Linked DNA regions of Stegostoma tigrinum. The protein of the gene in region 1 purifies or fractionates together with the protein of each later gene. This does not show direct contact. Links are inferred from orthologs where the notes say so. Each region holds a gene or a part of one and is shown in the gene's direction. Other genes may lie near its edges.

Evidence for each region. The genes of interacting proteins can lie anywhere in the genome.
Region 2: the proteins of cdc26 (region 1) and nek2 purify together in Homo sapiens (affinity purification with mass spectrometry; 3 studies listed by BioGRID and IntAct, with this or other methods). This does not show direct contact. The link is inferred for Stegostoma tigrinum from reciprocal best matches to the Homo sapiens genes CDC26 and NEK2.

The regions. Positions count from the first base shown.
Region 1 is NC_081382.1:5,537,427-5,544,577, forward strand, and holds the start of cdc26 (anaphase-promoting complex subunit CDC26), read left to right. Parts: upstream 1-4,147; 5' UTR 4,148-4,224; coding exon 4,225-4,305; intron 4,306-7,151. Other genes in the region: prpf4 (U4/U6 small nuclear ribonucleoprotein Prp4), read right to left, coding at 2,092-2,276, 3,267-3,418. UniProt on the Homo sapiens protein: Component of the anaphase promoting complex/cyclosome (APC/C), a cell cycle-regulated E3 ubiquitin ligase that controls progression through mitosis and the G1 phase of the cell cycle.
Region 2 is NC_081362.1:54,385,228-54,392,413, reverse strand, and holds the start of nek2 (serine/threonine-protein kinase Nek2), read left to right. Parts: upstream 1-4,094; 5' UTR 4,095-4,307; coding exon 4,308-4,403; intron 4,404-7,186. UniProt on the Homo sapiens protein: Protein kinase which is involved in the control of centrosome separation and bipolar spindle formation in mitotic cells and chromatin condensation in meiotic cells.

The DNA.
Region 1 (7,151 bases):
TTTGACATGTTGTAGTCAGGTCCTACAATGAAACATCCTGAAGATGAGAATGTCTTAAAGGTAAATGAAACATTTTTAAAAATTAACTCAGGTGAAATGCATACCTAAGTTGACATTCTCTATTCGTGGGTGACCCAAAACACATGAAACTAGTCATTTTAGCAATGTTTCACTTGTTAGCTTTCCTAGAGGGTATTCCGGAACAGATGAATTCTTAATATTTCTTAAGGGTAAGAAAAGAAACCATTTCCTTTCTGCTTGGGAGGCTAAGAAACTGAAAATAATTGTTAAAAGGGCAGTTGGATGTGTTGTTCATTTTAAATCTAAGATAGATACATTTTTGTTAAGCAAAGGCATTAAAGGATATGGGCCAAAGGCAGGTATATGGAGTTAAGTCACGCAGATTTCAAGTGCATAGCTCCCTCAAAGTTGCCACCCAGGTGGATAAGGTTGTTAAGAAAGCATATGGTGTTTTGGCTTTCATTAACAGGGGGATCTGGTTTAAGAGCCGTGAGGTTATGCTGCAGCTCTGCAAAACCCTGGTGAGACCACACTTGGAATATAGTGTCCAGTTCTGGTTGCCCTATTATAGGAAAGATGTGGAGGCTTTGGAGAGGGTGCAAAGTAGGTTTACTAGGATGCTGCCTGGACTGGAGGGCTTGTCTTATGAGGAGAGGTTGACTGAGCTCAGACTTTTCTCTCTGGAGAGAAGGAGGAAGAGAGGTGACCTGATCGAGGTGTACAAGGTAATGAGAGGCATGGATACAGTCGATAGCCAGAGACTTTTACCCAGGGCAGGACTGACTGCCACGAGGGGTCATAGTTTTAAGGTGTTGGGAGGAAGGTATAGAGGAGACGTCAGAGGGAGGTTCTTCACTCAGAGAGTTGTGAGCGCATGGAATAGTTTACCAGTGGTAGTCGTGGAAGCAGAGTCATTAGTGACATTTAAGCGACTGCCGGACATGCACATGGACAGCAGTGAATTGAGGGGAATGTAGGTTATGTCATTTTAATTTTGGATTAGGAATATTCCACGGCACAACATCGTGGGCCGAACGGCCTGTACTGTGCAGTACTTTTCTATGTTCTGTGTTCTATCAGACATGATCTCTCAGAGCGTGGAACAAGCTCAAGGTCCTGAATTGCCTACTCCTATACCTGTGTTTATAAAAGTACACTGGCTGCTTAAACACTGGTTTTTATGGAGGCTGTGGATATCGGATTCTATTTCTTCAATATTTTAAGCAGATACTGTGCAATAAGACTCCTGAAAATGGTATACCCAGAGAATGTTACGTAGACAATGGTTCACAACGGGATACAAAATGTGACAGAGTGGTTCTGAACTGACCTTGCTGGTTTGAAACAAATGCTAGAGGCGAAAAAAAGACTTCTAAACTTAAGTGGATGGATGTAAATCATCAACTGTTTCAGAAAACGAAATGCATGTGCAAAGAAATTGTTAGCAGTCTCAGAGAATGTGGGATTTTGAAATGCAAAGCTTTGCTGTGTATTTTTTGATTTCAGCCATTCGCACGTTGTGTAGGGTAAGGGATTAATACTGTCAATAATTGTTGTCACATACGCAACTTCACACAGATAAGAGATCTATAAAATGCTCTCAACATTTGCTTTGAACAGCCTGAATATTTTCAATGCAATTTCTTTTGAAAATCTGTTAACTGTACATTCATTATTTGCAGGTATTGGGCATTAACTTGGACTTCCTTGCATCCCCACTGAAGAGTCAACATACAGCATATTTCTACGGTATCCAGAAAATCATTTAACCTTATAAGATCAGACTATCAGGCCATCGTCACTTAGCTATTTGTGTGAACTTGTTGCACATAAATTTCTTAATTACAACTGTTGCCATTTCCAGAAGTGTTTCAAACGTTATAGACTTTCTGCACTTTTGCATCCAAAATAAAGCCCAATTCATCTAAAATTGTTACTTATTGCTATTGTTCCCAACCAGCTTTCTAAAATTTCTCAGCAATCTTTTCAGCAGCTCCACATTTTTTGACTCAATCAGATGGAGTAATTATTCAATGACACAGTTAAAGAAACTGAAGCATCATCACTTACTGCTGGATATATTAATATGTCCAGCTTCTACCCCAGCTTTCACAGCTTCTTTCCCCAGGTATCCTGCATCTCCTTTGGAAATCCTCTCTTTCTCCTTCTCTTCAAGGCTTCCATAATAAATCCGAGATTTCTTAGGCAACGGAACATCATCATCATCAGACATTCTTGTAATATGGGGCAGGAAACTGTGGGTGTAGAAAATGCATAAAATTAACAAACCGTTTTGACCAGAGATAAGAGATGAGAAAGACAGGTTGTTTGACTCTAGCTCTAATCTCCAAGTACATGCATCTGCATGCTTAAATTGGGGTGTTGCTCATAGGAATTCTGGTTTTTGATGCCTTGGGAAAGAAGTTGGAACAGGAAGAACTGAACGAGTGTTGATTTCTAGCCCAGGAGAGAGAATCTTTGGATCATGCTTTTGGAGCTTCACAGGAACAAGCAGGAAATGAGAGAGAATCAAAGACAACAGAAGCATCCATGGAATAAAATCAAGAAAGGCTCTGGCAGATGAGAAAAAGGATCACAGAAAATTTGGAACTGTCTCCCCAAATCAAAAGCAATGCACCTTAGGGCAATTTGAGCTATTGAATTAATAAGATCATTATATTGTCAAAGTACCAAGAAAAGTTGAGCAAAGGTAGATCTTGGAGTTGAGGTACAGATTAGCCATAGCATGTCTGAATACATTGATTAAAAAATATCTAAATGAATAGTAAGTGCAATAGGGCTCAAAGGAGTGAATGATCTACTTCTATTCCTAACTACAGATAACAAACAAGTATCAGATGATCTCTTATAAAAAAGTGTGAAGCTGGATGAACACAGTGTGTTCATCCAGCTTCACACTTTGTTATCTTGGATTCTCCAGCATCTGCAGTTTCCATTATCACTCATCAGATGATCTCTTGTTCCTTACAGCAGAAGATGGAAATGTGAAATTATCCACTTTGGTCTGAGTGGCAAAGCTGAACATATTTCAAAAGTAAAAGCAGATGTTGACATTAAGGTGAACTTGAGGGTCATCATACCCATCTTATAAAAGATTAATTTGTAGGTATATTATAGATATTTTGCTTGGGTTTTTAAATGTTATTTGAATATTGAAAGACTAACATTTCCAAATTTGTCAATGATACCAAACTTAGAAACAGTACTAAAGATAACAATGTTACCAATTGCACAGGGTAGCACTGTCTCTCAGCGCCAGGGTCCCGAGTTTGTGGAGATTGCACGTTCTCCCTGTGTCTACACGGGTTTCTTCCGGGTGTTCTGGCTGCCTCCTACTCCAAAGAGGTGTAGGGTGGGTGGGTGCTAAATTGCCCATCAGGGATGTTCCGGTTAGGTGGGTTAGCCATGGGAGATGGGGATGATACGGGAGGGATGCTCGGTGTGGACTCGATGGGCCGAATGCTGGCACACGGTACGAATTCTATGATTCTAACTACCAGTCGGAGAATTGTAGGCCGGCAGATTGGGATTTAACAAGCGATTCATTTTGGAAGAACGGTTTGGGAGAAGGAAATAGATACTTAATGACTCAGTGCTAAAGAGCGCGCAGAGAGACGGGGAGGGGAGAGGACTTGGTGCCAACGTGCACTAAACTCTTCAGGTGGCAGCATACACAGGGCGTGATTAACCAAGCACATGGGAGTTATGAACTCCCTAAATAGAAATGTTGATGGAAAAAGCAGGGGATTTACGGTGAAGTTGAATAAAGTTATGAGCCACAAGTAGAGCATTGTGTGTGATTTCTGATACAGTACAGCCTCCCCTCCCCCACAAGCAGCCACAATGACCGACTTCTCCCCAACCTGACAATATAAAGGCCCGGTTAAGGACGGGGAGTTGACGGCAATAGCCAAGGCCTAGCTTTAGGCTATCTCCTGTCTCTATCTCTCCTTCCCCCAGCCTCAGCGCGGCCTCTTACCAGCTCCTATACCGTCGTTAAGCCGACACTGACTGCGTCCGGGGCAAAGGGTAAGGAGGCGGCGCACAGGCTGCTGGGTGTTGTAGTCATTTCCACGCCGCCGGCTCAGAAACTACATGTCCCAGTGTGCCATGCCGTGGTGACGCCAGGTGTCGCCTGTAAGGTCTGAAGCGACCAAGTTGGACGTGACTTCTAGCGGCAGAATGTTGCGGAGGAAGCCTACTCGGCTCGAACTGAAGCTGGACGATATTGAGGAGTTTGAGAGTATGAAGAAGGAGTTGGAGGTGAGTGTCAAGGTGACAGGAGTTTGGCCAGGGCTGGCGCCAGGTTCGCTCCGACAGAACCTCAGCGGGGCCTAGGCCTGGGCCTGGGCCTCACCGTCCGCCTCCAGAGCCAGACCCACCATCGCCTGGACACGGCACCGACAAAGGGACCTGGAAATCACTTCAGTCAGGCGGCAGGAGACCCGAACCACACCACCACCAACCCCCCCCTCCCCACCACCAACCCCCCCCCCACCACCACCACACACACCACATTCCCCCACCCCCCAACACATACCCCACACCCCCACACCCCACATGCACCCCTGCCACTTGCACACCCCCTGCACTTACTCCCACCACCCCCACCCTGGCACAGGCACTCACACCCAGTGCCCACCCCCCCCATACTGCTGCCACTTGCTCGCACCCCCATCCCCTGCACACGCTTTATATCCTTCCTAGAGCATCTATACATTGGAGCATTAAGCATCCTGCCCTGTCCATCCCTGAGCCACGTCTCTATAGTTGCTATGATATCCCAGTCCCATGTTCCCAACCATGCCCTCAGTTCATCTGCGTTATCTGTTAGGCCTCCTGCATTGAAATAAATGCAGTTTAATTCATCCGTAATAGCTCGTTTTCTGCTTTGTTCCTGACTGTCTGACCTGTTCCTTTTCCCATCTCTACCAGTTTTGGGGACTGTCCTCTTTTCTCACTATCTCCCTAGGAAATCTAGCAAATCTCCCCAGCAGAGTATTAGGCCCTTTCCAATTCAGCTGCAATCCATCCTTATGCAGGTCACTTGTACCCTAGAAGAGATTCCAGTGATCCAAAATTGTGGATCCTCTCCATCACCAGCTCCTCAGCCATACATTTATCTGCTGTATCCTTCTATTCCTATCCTCACTAGCTCATGGCACTGGAAGTATTCCAGATATTACTACCCTGAAGATAACAAAGTGCGGAGCTGGATGAACACAGCAGGCCAAGCAGCATCTCAGGAGCACAAAAGCTGACATTTTGGGCCTAGACCCTTCATCAGAGAGGATGCTCTCTGATGGAGGGTCTAGGCCTGAAATGTCAGCTTTTGTGCTCCTGAGATGCTGCTTGGCCTGCTGTGTTCATCCAGCTCCGCACTTTGTTGTCTTGGATTCTCCAGCATCTGCAGTTCCCATTATCACATTACTACCCTGAAGAACCTTTTTTTTAAAAAATTCCTGCCTGTCCTCTTCAGAATGATTTAAAATTAGGGATATTGAAACTGTATTAGACGTGCAGTGATATTTTGGAGGTCTCAGAATTGGAAAAGGTTATGAACGTCAGGAGGGTCCAGGCTGTGGAGGGATTTGAAAACAATAATGAAGATTTTCTATAATAAAGGTATTGTTTAACTAGTAGTCTGTGTGGGTCAGCTAGTACAAGAGGGATTGGTGAATGCTGTACGTTAGACTGCAGGCATCAGAGACTTCAGTTACCTCAAATTCAGTGTTTAGAATGTGGGAGAGCAGCGAGGAATGCATTACAATAGTCAAGTCTGAAGATAACAAGCATGGATAGGGTTTCAGCGGCAGAAGAGCTGAAGTAGTAATGGAGTCAGACATTGCAACAGAGACGGCAGTAAAACCAAGTTGCTGCAAGAGTTCAAGATAACAAAGGGTGAAGCTGGATGAACACAGCAGGCCAAGCAGCATCTCAGGAGCACAATATCGCTGCTTCCATTTAATCTTGGGTGTCAGAGTAGCAAGAAGGCAAAGTCAAGACAGTGAAGGGTTCAAGTAAGGTAGTAGTGAGATAGATGTGAAACTGATTGCCAAGGGACAGTGTACAGTGAAAAATAGAAGGGGGCCAAAGATAGATCTCTGGGGGACATCTGAGATCACTGTAGGAATGGAAAGAAGTCATTGCCAATGGTTTCCCTGGCTATGATGCAATAAGAATGGGATCAGGCCAGTCTACTCTCACCCACTGGACAACAAAGGAAAGTAATTGGAGGAAGATGGCTACCATGTTGAAAGCCACAGCCAGGATGAAGAAAGATAGTTTACCTGTGGTGTGATCACAGAAGGTGTTGTTTGTGACTTGAATAAGAGCCATTGCAGTGTTGATTGGAAGGATTCAAGTTTTGGAAAAGATGGGCACAGATTTGAGATGCCACAAACACTTCAAAGGATTTTGGAATGGGGATGGTCAGAGATAGGGCAGCAGTTTGCAAGCAGCGGGAATTAAAGGTATTTTTTTGATGAGGGAAATATGATGGCACATTTGAAGGAGAGAGGGTCAGAACCAGAAGAGATAGAACCATTAGTGGTTTTAGTTAATGTGTGAGCAAGGAAGGAAAGTTGGTGGTCAGTAATATAGTGGGAATAGGGCTGTGGGAGTACAAGATGGCTCTTACGAACAAGATGAACTCTGGTGAGCAAAGAGAGGAGAGACATTACAAAGGAAATAAATTTTGGCTGAGAAAGGGAAACCATAGATTCCACAATCACTTTTGGTAAATGTTCCTGCACCATTAGGCTCTTAATGAATATCTGGTTCATTTATTAAACTAATATGGCCTGCCTGCTTGTTGGTTCTAGTGCATATTGTTGTAAAACAACTGCCCTGAACACACTGAAGAAATGTATTGATTTTCTAACATGAGTTTATTTGCTTTGTCCAAGCTAGGTGAGTAAATTACAGGGGACAACGATGCAAGGGGGATATAGACAAGTTGTGAGTAGGCAAACATTTGACAGTTGGAATATAATGTGGGAAAATGTGAGGCTACATGCTTGGGCAGGAAGAAAAGAATATTATTTGAATGAGGAAAGACTACAGAAAGCTGCAGCACAGAGCATTTTAGGAGTCCTCGTGCATGAATC
Region 2 (7,186 bases), on another chromosome or scaffold:
TAGTACCTGACTGTCTGCCCCTCTTCTGTGGTTATGTCCATGTTTGGTTGTCCACCAAGAGAAGGCATGTGGTGACCACTGGCATGGTGGAGGCCCTTACAGACCAGTGGGCACCTAGGGGTTGGAGTATATCATCACCCTGGTAATGATATTTTGATTTGCTTTTGATAAGATTCCATTTCTGATCTGTAAGTTGACCGATTATCTTGTTTGTGTTATAGTGCTCAACCAGGGGCAGTCTAACCTGTTTAAGTTGCTTTAAAAGTATACTGGTTATGCAAATGAGCTAAAATTTGGCAGTTGGCAGAGCCGAATATTATTTAAATGAAAAAGACTGCAGAAAATTACTATGACTTGCAAGTCTTAGAGTCTTGCAGCATTGAAACAGACCCTTCAGTCCAACCAGTCCATGCCGACCATGTTACCAAACTAAGCTAGTCCAACCTGCCTGTGCTTAGACCACTTCCCTCCAAACCTTTCCTATTCATGAACTTATCTAAATGTCCTTTAAACATTGTAACAGTACCAGCATCCACCACTTTCTCTAAGAGTTCATTCCACATATGAACTACTCTGTGTAAAAATGTTGCTCCTCATGTCCTTTTTAAATCTTTTTTCTCTCGCCTTGAAAATATGCCCCCTAGTTTTTAACTCCTCCACCTCTGGAAAAGACAATTTTCTTTCACAAATCCTTTTGCACAAATCACAAAAAAGCTAGCATACAAGATAGTAGGGAAGCCAGATGAAGTGTTGGCCTTAATTTCAAAGAGAATGGAGTATAAAATAGAGACATCTTTCCAAAACTATACAAGGCAGTAGTCATACCACACCTGGAACGCTGTAATATATTTTGACCCCATTATCTACTGAAAAAAGACATTGGAGGCACTCCAGAGAATGATCACTAGGTTAATCCTGGATATGGAGGCACTTCCTTGTGAGGAGAGGTTGAGGAGGGACTGTACTCATTGGAATTTTGAAGAATGTGAGGCAATCTTATTAAAACATACAAAATTCTTAGGGCCTGGACAGGGTAGATTCAGAAAGATTATTTCCCCTTTTGGAAGAGTCTGGAGTCAGAAGGCATAATCTCAGAATAAGGGGTCATCATTTAAAACAGAGATGGGCAGGAATTTCTTCTCTCAGATTGTAGTTAATTTGTGGAATTCTTTACCGTAGAGAGCAATAGAGGCCGAAAACAGTTAAGTATATTCAAGACAGAGATAAATAGATTTTTAACCAATAACGGAATCAACTGTTCTGGGGAAAAGGCAGGAAATATTGAGGATTATCAGATCAATCATATCTCATTGAATATTAGAGCAGACTTGAGCTGAAAGGTCTGTTTCTCCCTCATGTCTTATTGACTGATATAATAAGAGGGATACAAAGAGTCTGCAAAGTGAATGGTTAAGGAATTGGTAGATGGAACTATAATATGAGAAAAATGTAAGGTTGTATACTTTGGCAGGAAGAATAGAAATGCAGAACATTATTTAACTGAGAGAAGCTCCAATAAAGAGAGATTAGAATTTCTTTGAACCTGAATTGCAAAAGGTTAGTGTGTAAGTCGGGTAAGTAATTAGAATGTAAATTTTATGTTGAAATTTGGCATTGTTAGAAGTTGCCTAAGTCCTATAGTTAATTACATTTCAGTGGTGATTATCAGAATTTGAATTTCTCTTAATGTTAGTTATTTTCCAGAACAATAGTAGAAAATATAGATGTTGCTACTTCTCATTTCAAGTTTTGTCAGATATTGTACGGAACACGGAAATCTCCAGGTAATATTTAAGGTTTTAGCAAAGATTTGTAGCTTGGACTGTGGGTGAGGTTGTTGACTTGCTTGTCGAGCTGGCTTGTTTTCATTCAGATGTTTTGATACTTTGCTCGGTAATATCATCAGTGAGGCCTCAGATGAAGTGATGTTGTTCTACTCCGCTTGCAATTTACACAGTCTGGCCTGTTATAGTGAGTAGTGCCATTTCTGGTTTTGTTCTGTATGGGGCCCAATTCTATATGTTTGTTGTATGTGTCTATGTTTGGCTTGGCTACTACGGTTATGTTGTCCCAGTTTAGTCTGGCATGGTGATGGAATGGCTGAATGAAAACTTGGGCTTGGGAGGCAAGTCAACAACCTCACCCAGGGTAATATCACTTAACTATTTGAGATTGCCCAGATTATGCTTTTTTGTTTGTAATGTAAATTGCTGAATAGTTAAACCATCAGGACATCTATTGCGTCAAGTCTAATATTGTGGCTGTAAGAGCTGTTCCTTTTTTGAGGTATTTTCAGTGTTGGAGCTCATTTCCTCAAATTCTATGAGCAATAATTACTGTTTTAAAAGCTGCTGACATGATCTATATGAACTTCGGTAAGGCATTTGACATGGTTCCTCATGGTAGACTGGTTAGCAAGGTTAGATCACATGGAATAGAGGGAGAACTACTTATTTGGATACAGGATTGGCTCAAAGGTAGAAGACAGCGTGGTGGTGGAGGGTTGCCTTACAGACTGGAAGGCTATGATTGAGTGCTGGCTCCACTGCTTTTTGTCATTTATATAAATAATTTGGATGGGAACATAGAAGATATGAGTTAGTAAATTTGCAGATTACGCCAAAATTGGAGGTTTAGTGGACAGCGAAGAAGGTTACCTCAGAGTACAGCAGGATCTTGATCGATGGGCCAATAGGCCAAGAAGCATTTTGGAAAGACAATTCAGGGCAAGATTTGTACACTTAATGGTAAGGCCCTGTGGAGTGTTGCTGAACAAAAAGACCTTGGAGTGCAATTTTGTAGTTCCTTGAAAGTGGAGTAGGTGGATAGGATAGTGAAGAAGGCATTTTGGTATGCTTGCCTTTATTGGTCAGTGCATTGAGTTTGGGAGTTGGGTGGTCATGTGACAGCTGTATAGGACATTGGTTAGGCCAATTTTGGAATACTGCATGCAATTCTGGTCTCCCTGCTATAGGAAGGATGTTGTGAAATTTGAAATGGTTCAGAAAAGATTTACAAGGATGTTGCCAGGGTTGGAGTGTTTGAGCTAGAGGGAAGGGCTGAACAGACTGGGGCTATTTTCTGTCAGTGACCTTTTGAGGTTTATAAAATCATAAGACCATAAGACATAGGAGTGGAAGTAAGGCCATTCGGCCCATCAAATCCACTCCCCATTTAAATCATGGCTGATGATGAAGGGCATAGATAGGGTGAATAGCCAAGATCTTTTCCCCAGGGCAGAGGAGTCCAAAACTAGAGGGCATTGGTTTCAGGTGAGAGGGGAATGATATGAAAGGGACCTAAGAGACAACATTTTCATGTAGAGGGTGGTGTGTGTATGGAATGAGCTGCCAGATGAATTGTGGAGGCTGGTACAATTACAACATTTAAAAGGCATCTGGATCGGTATATGAATAGGCACGGTTTAGAGGGATATGGTCAAATACTGGCAAATGGGACTACACTAGTTTAGGATATCTGATTGGCATGGGCGAGTTGGATTGAAGGATCTGTTTACATACTGCATATCTCTATGACTCCATGGAGGTTGGGCAAGGAACCTGCTTCAACATACATTCTGGGTTATTTTGTCTCAAAGAACTACACCACCAAAAGGCTTAATACCAGTATTTAGTGGCCCCTTCTTTTATTTATTTATTTTTTAATTTAACTGTTATTTTGAAATATTTTGACACTTCTGAAATTTTTCATTTTTCCAATAAATTCCAATATTTTCCCCAGAAACATAGTAAAATTCTGATTCTATTTATCTATTACTTTAGAAATTGAGATAACAATGTGTGGGGATGGATGAACACAGCAGGCCAAGCAGCATCTTTTGGGTTATTTTTGTCTCTAACAACAAACTAACTGCCTGCATGAATTACAGACAAAACAAGTTGGAAAACATGGAACTACGAAAATCCAGAACAAACGCTGATCATATTTAAATTTCGCGCGCTGTTCCCGCGCCCCCAGCCGCTGCCAAGGCAACAGATTGTTATTCGCAAGAGCCAACCATAGGACGGGACGCCGAAGCCGATCGACCAATCGGAATGGAGCTGAGGAAGCCAGTGGATGGGGGCTGGCCCATGCCTTCTTGTCGGTTGAGCGCGTTTCCGGCAGGGACCGGTGGGAAACCTCCTCGACCCCAGCCCGAAGGGTCTCGCTCACACTCACTCAGTCACACACACGCTGTTTCACGCGTCGAGACAGGGACGTGAGTGTGTCAGTGGCTGAGTCTGCACTGTTCACTCAACTCCATCCCGTACATCGATGCTCGTTATCGCTCGCTTCGTATTGAAAAAATGCCGTCCCGCCTGGAAGATTATGAGCTGCTGGAAAGCATCGGCTCCGGTTCTTACGGCAGGTGTCAGAAGATCAGACGGAAGTCGGACGGAAAGGTGAGCTCCCATCTAAATAAACACGAGCATTTCAACTGCGTTTTGTTCATCTCATTGGCGCGAGCTGTTTTGTAGGGTGCCAGAGCAAATTTGAAAACACACTGGAATGGTTTCAGTTTACACAGGTTCGACCGAGAGGCGCAGGGCAGCTGCAGATTCTGATCCCCACCTCCCCGCACCCCAATGCTAGAGGTCTCATCAAATGATCTTCCCTCTGATCTCATCGCATGCCCTGACTAGTTAAGGACACCTAATTTCACTATTCGGTTTCTGTTATTCGTGGGAGCAGAAATAGGTCATTCATCCCATCGAGTCTGTTCTGCCATCCAAGGCGATTATGGAATCCTCAATCCCACATTCCTGCCTTTTCCACATAATCTTTGATTCCTTAACTGATTAACAACCCATCTCAGCCTTGAATATACTTAATGGCCCATTGCGACCGCCCTCTGGTGAAGAATTCGTCTCCCTCTGACGAAAATTTCTCCTTGTCAGAAATGGGTGACCCCTTGATATTATTACCTGGCTCTGGGCTCTCCCACAAGGAAAAGTGACATCCCCATATCAACCCCTCTGTGAACCTTGCATGTTTCAATCAAGTCTCCTTGTTAGAGTAATTGAATTGGAAACAGATCCGTTAGTTCAACTCATTCATGCTGAACAGATATCCTAAATTAATCTAGTCCCATTTCCCAGCATTTGGCCCATATCCCTCTAAACCCTTCCGTATCAAATACGTAATCCTGGAAATCCAGATGTATTACATTTACAGGATCCCCATTATCCAGACTGGTTCTACTGATTCAAAGAACTCTAACAAAATAATTAAACCAGATTTACTTTTCATAAAACCATGTTGATTCTGATGGATTGGGTTTTGATTTTTCAAATGTCCTTTTATTACTTTCTTAGTAATGGATTCTGACAATTCCCCAATGACAAGTGGTTTAGTAATTGATGTGTAATTTCTTACTTTTTCTGTTTCCCTCTCTTGGTTAAAGAAAAGGGAATTGTATTAATATTTTTCCACTCCATTGGAACCTTTTCTGCATCCAGAGAATTTCAGAATGTTATAACCAATGGATCCACTGCTGCACACACTATAAGACGATAGGATGTAGGCTATTAGGTCCTAGAATTTGACTGCCGTCAATTCCATTTGTTTGCGAAGTAATTTGATGTTCTAAGTTGCTACCTTCCTATAATCTCTGCATTACCTGTTAGAAGCTCATTTTCCCTCATCAACCATTGTTTCTATTGTTGCTAAATTGAAATTTTCAAGGGTGCAAGATTAAGAAGGGTGATGCTGGTCTATTAGATAATAAATCATAAAAAAGGATTGAACAGTGCTGAAGAGATAGTAAGAATTGCCGGTGCTGCAGTCAGAGATAACACACTGTGGAGCTGGGGGTACACAACAGGCTAGGTAGCATCAGAGGAGCAGGAAAGTTGACATTTTGGGTCTGGACCCTTCTTCAGAAATGGGGGAGTCTGACTGAGAATAAAGCTTCCTTCCAAAGGCATCCGAAGATTGTAGCTAAAGGAGTATCTTAACAGATAAAAGAACAGATTGGCTTCCCAAACAAATCCACAAGGTTCATTTCTGAAGAAGGGTCCAACCTGAAATGTCAACTTTATTGCTCCTTTGATCCTGCCTGGCCTGCTGTGTTGAACATCTTTTTGTAAGTTACTTGACCTTAAAATTATTAAAAGGTTTGATGGGATAAATGTCGGGAATGTTCTGTTTCTGGAGTAAGACCCAAATTAGGGACTGTGAATTTAAGATTGTTACCCATAAACTTAGTAACAAATTGGAAGTTTCTTTAGTTTGGTTAAAATGCAGAAAGTGCACAAAATCATTGTGATAAATAGATACCACGGGAAAATCAGGTAAACACCTGAGGAAATGATGTTTGGATTGGTTGAAGTAGTGTATGAGTAATGTTCCATCTAAGTTGCATGTATATGGCTGCTTTGGTCCACGCATGGTGATGGTGTGCTAAGACCTCTGAGGCCCATGAGGAAGAAAATAAAATAATCAGGAATGCTGAGTGTGAGGTTGCTTCTAAAGCAAGATGTTTGGCAATGTGACATGTCTCTTTCAAAAAAAAGATGTGCTTATTCTCCAGCATCTGCAGTTCCCATCAGCTCTTTCAAAGAGCTGGCATGTACATGACGTGCTTCAGAAACTCAGGTGTTCTGGCATCAACTGTGCAGATAATGTTTTAAATCTGTTGACTCTTGAAATGGAAGAGAGGAGGAAAATTAGTGTATTTTATGATGTTGAAAAGTAGGAAGGACAAGTGAATCAGAAGGGGAGATCAGGGAAAGATTAAAGGAGATTGTGAGATTAAAGGCATCACGGAACAAGATAACGGGAGCAGCATAGTTTTAGAGAAGGTCGCATTGTTCAGAGTACAGGTGGGCAACCACCTACAAACTGATGCCCACCGACTCCCACAGCTACCTGGAATACACCACCTTCCTGCAAAAATTCCATCCCCTATTTCCAATTCCTTCGCCTCTGCTGCATCTGCTCCCAGGACGAGGCATTTCACTCCTGCTCGTCCCAGATGTCCTCCGTCTTGAAGGGCCACACCCCCCCCCGCAGTGGTCGAGAACGTCTTGCCCGCACCCCGCCCTCGCAATAACAGCCCGAAGAGAATCTCCCTGGTCCTCTCATTCCACCCCACCAACCTCCAGATACAATGCATCATCCTCCGACACTTCTGCCGTCTACAATCCGACCCCACCACCAAAGACATTTTTCCCCACCCCTTGTC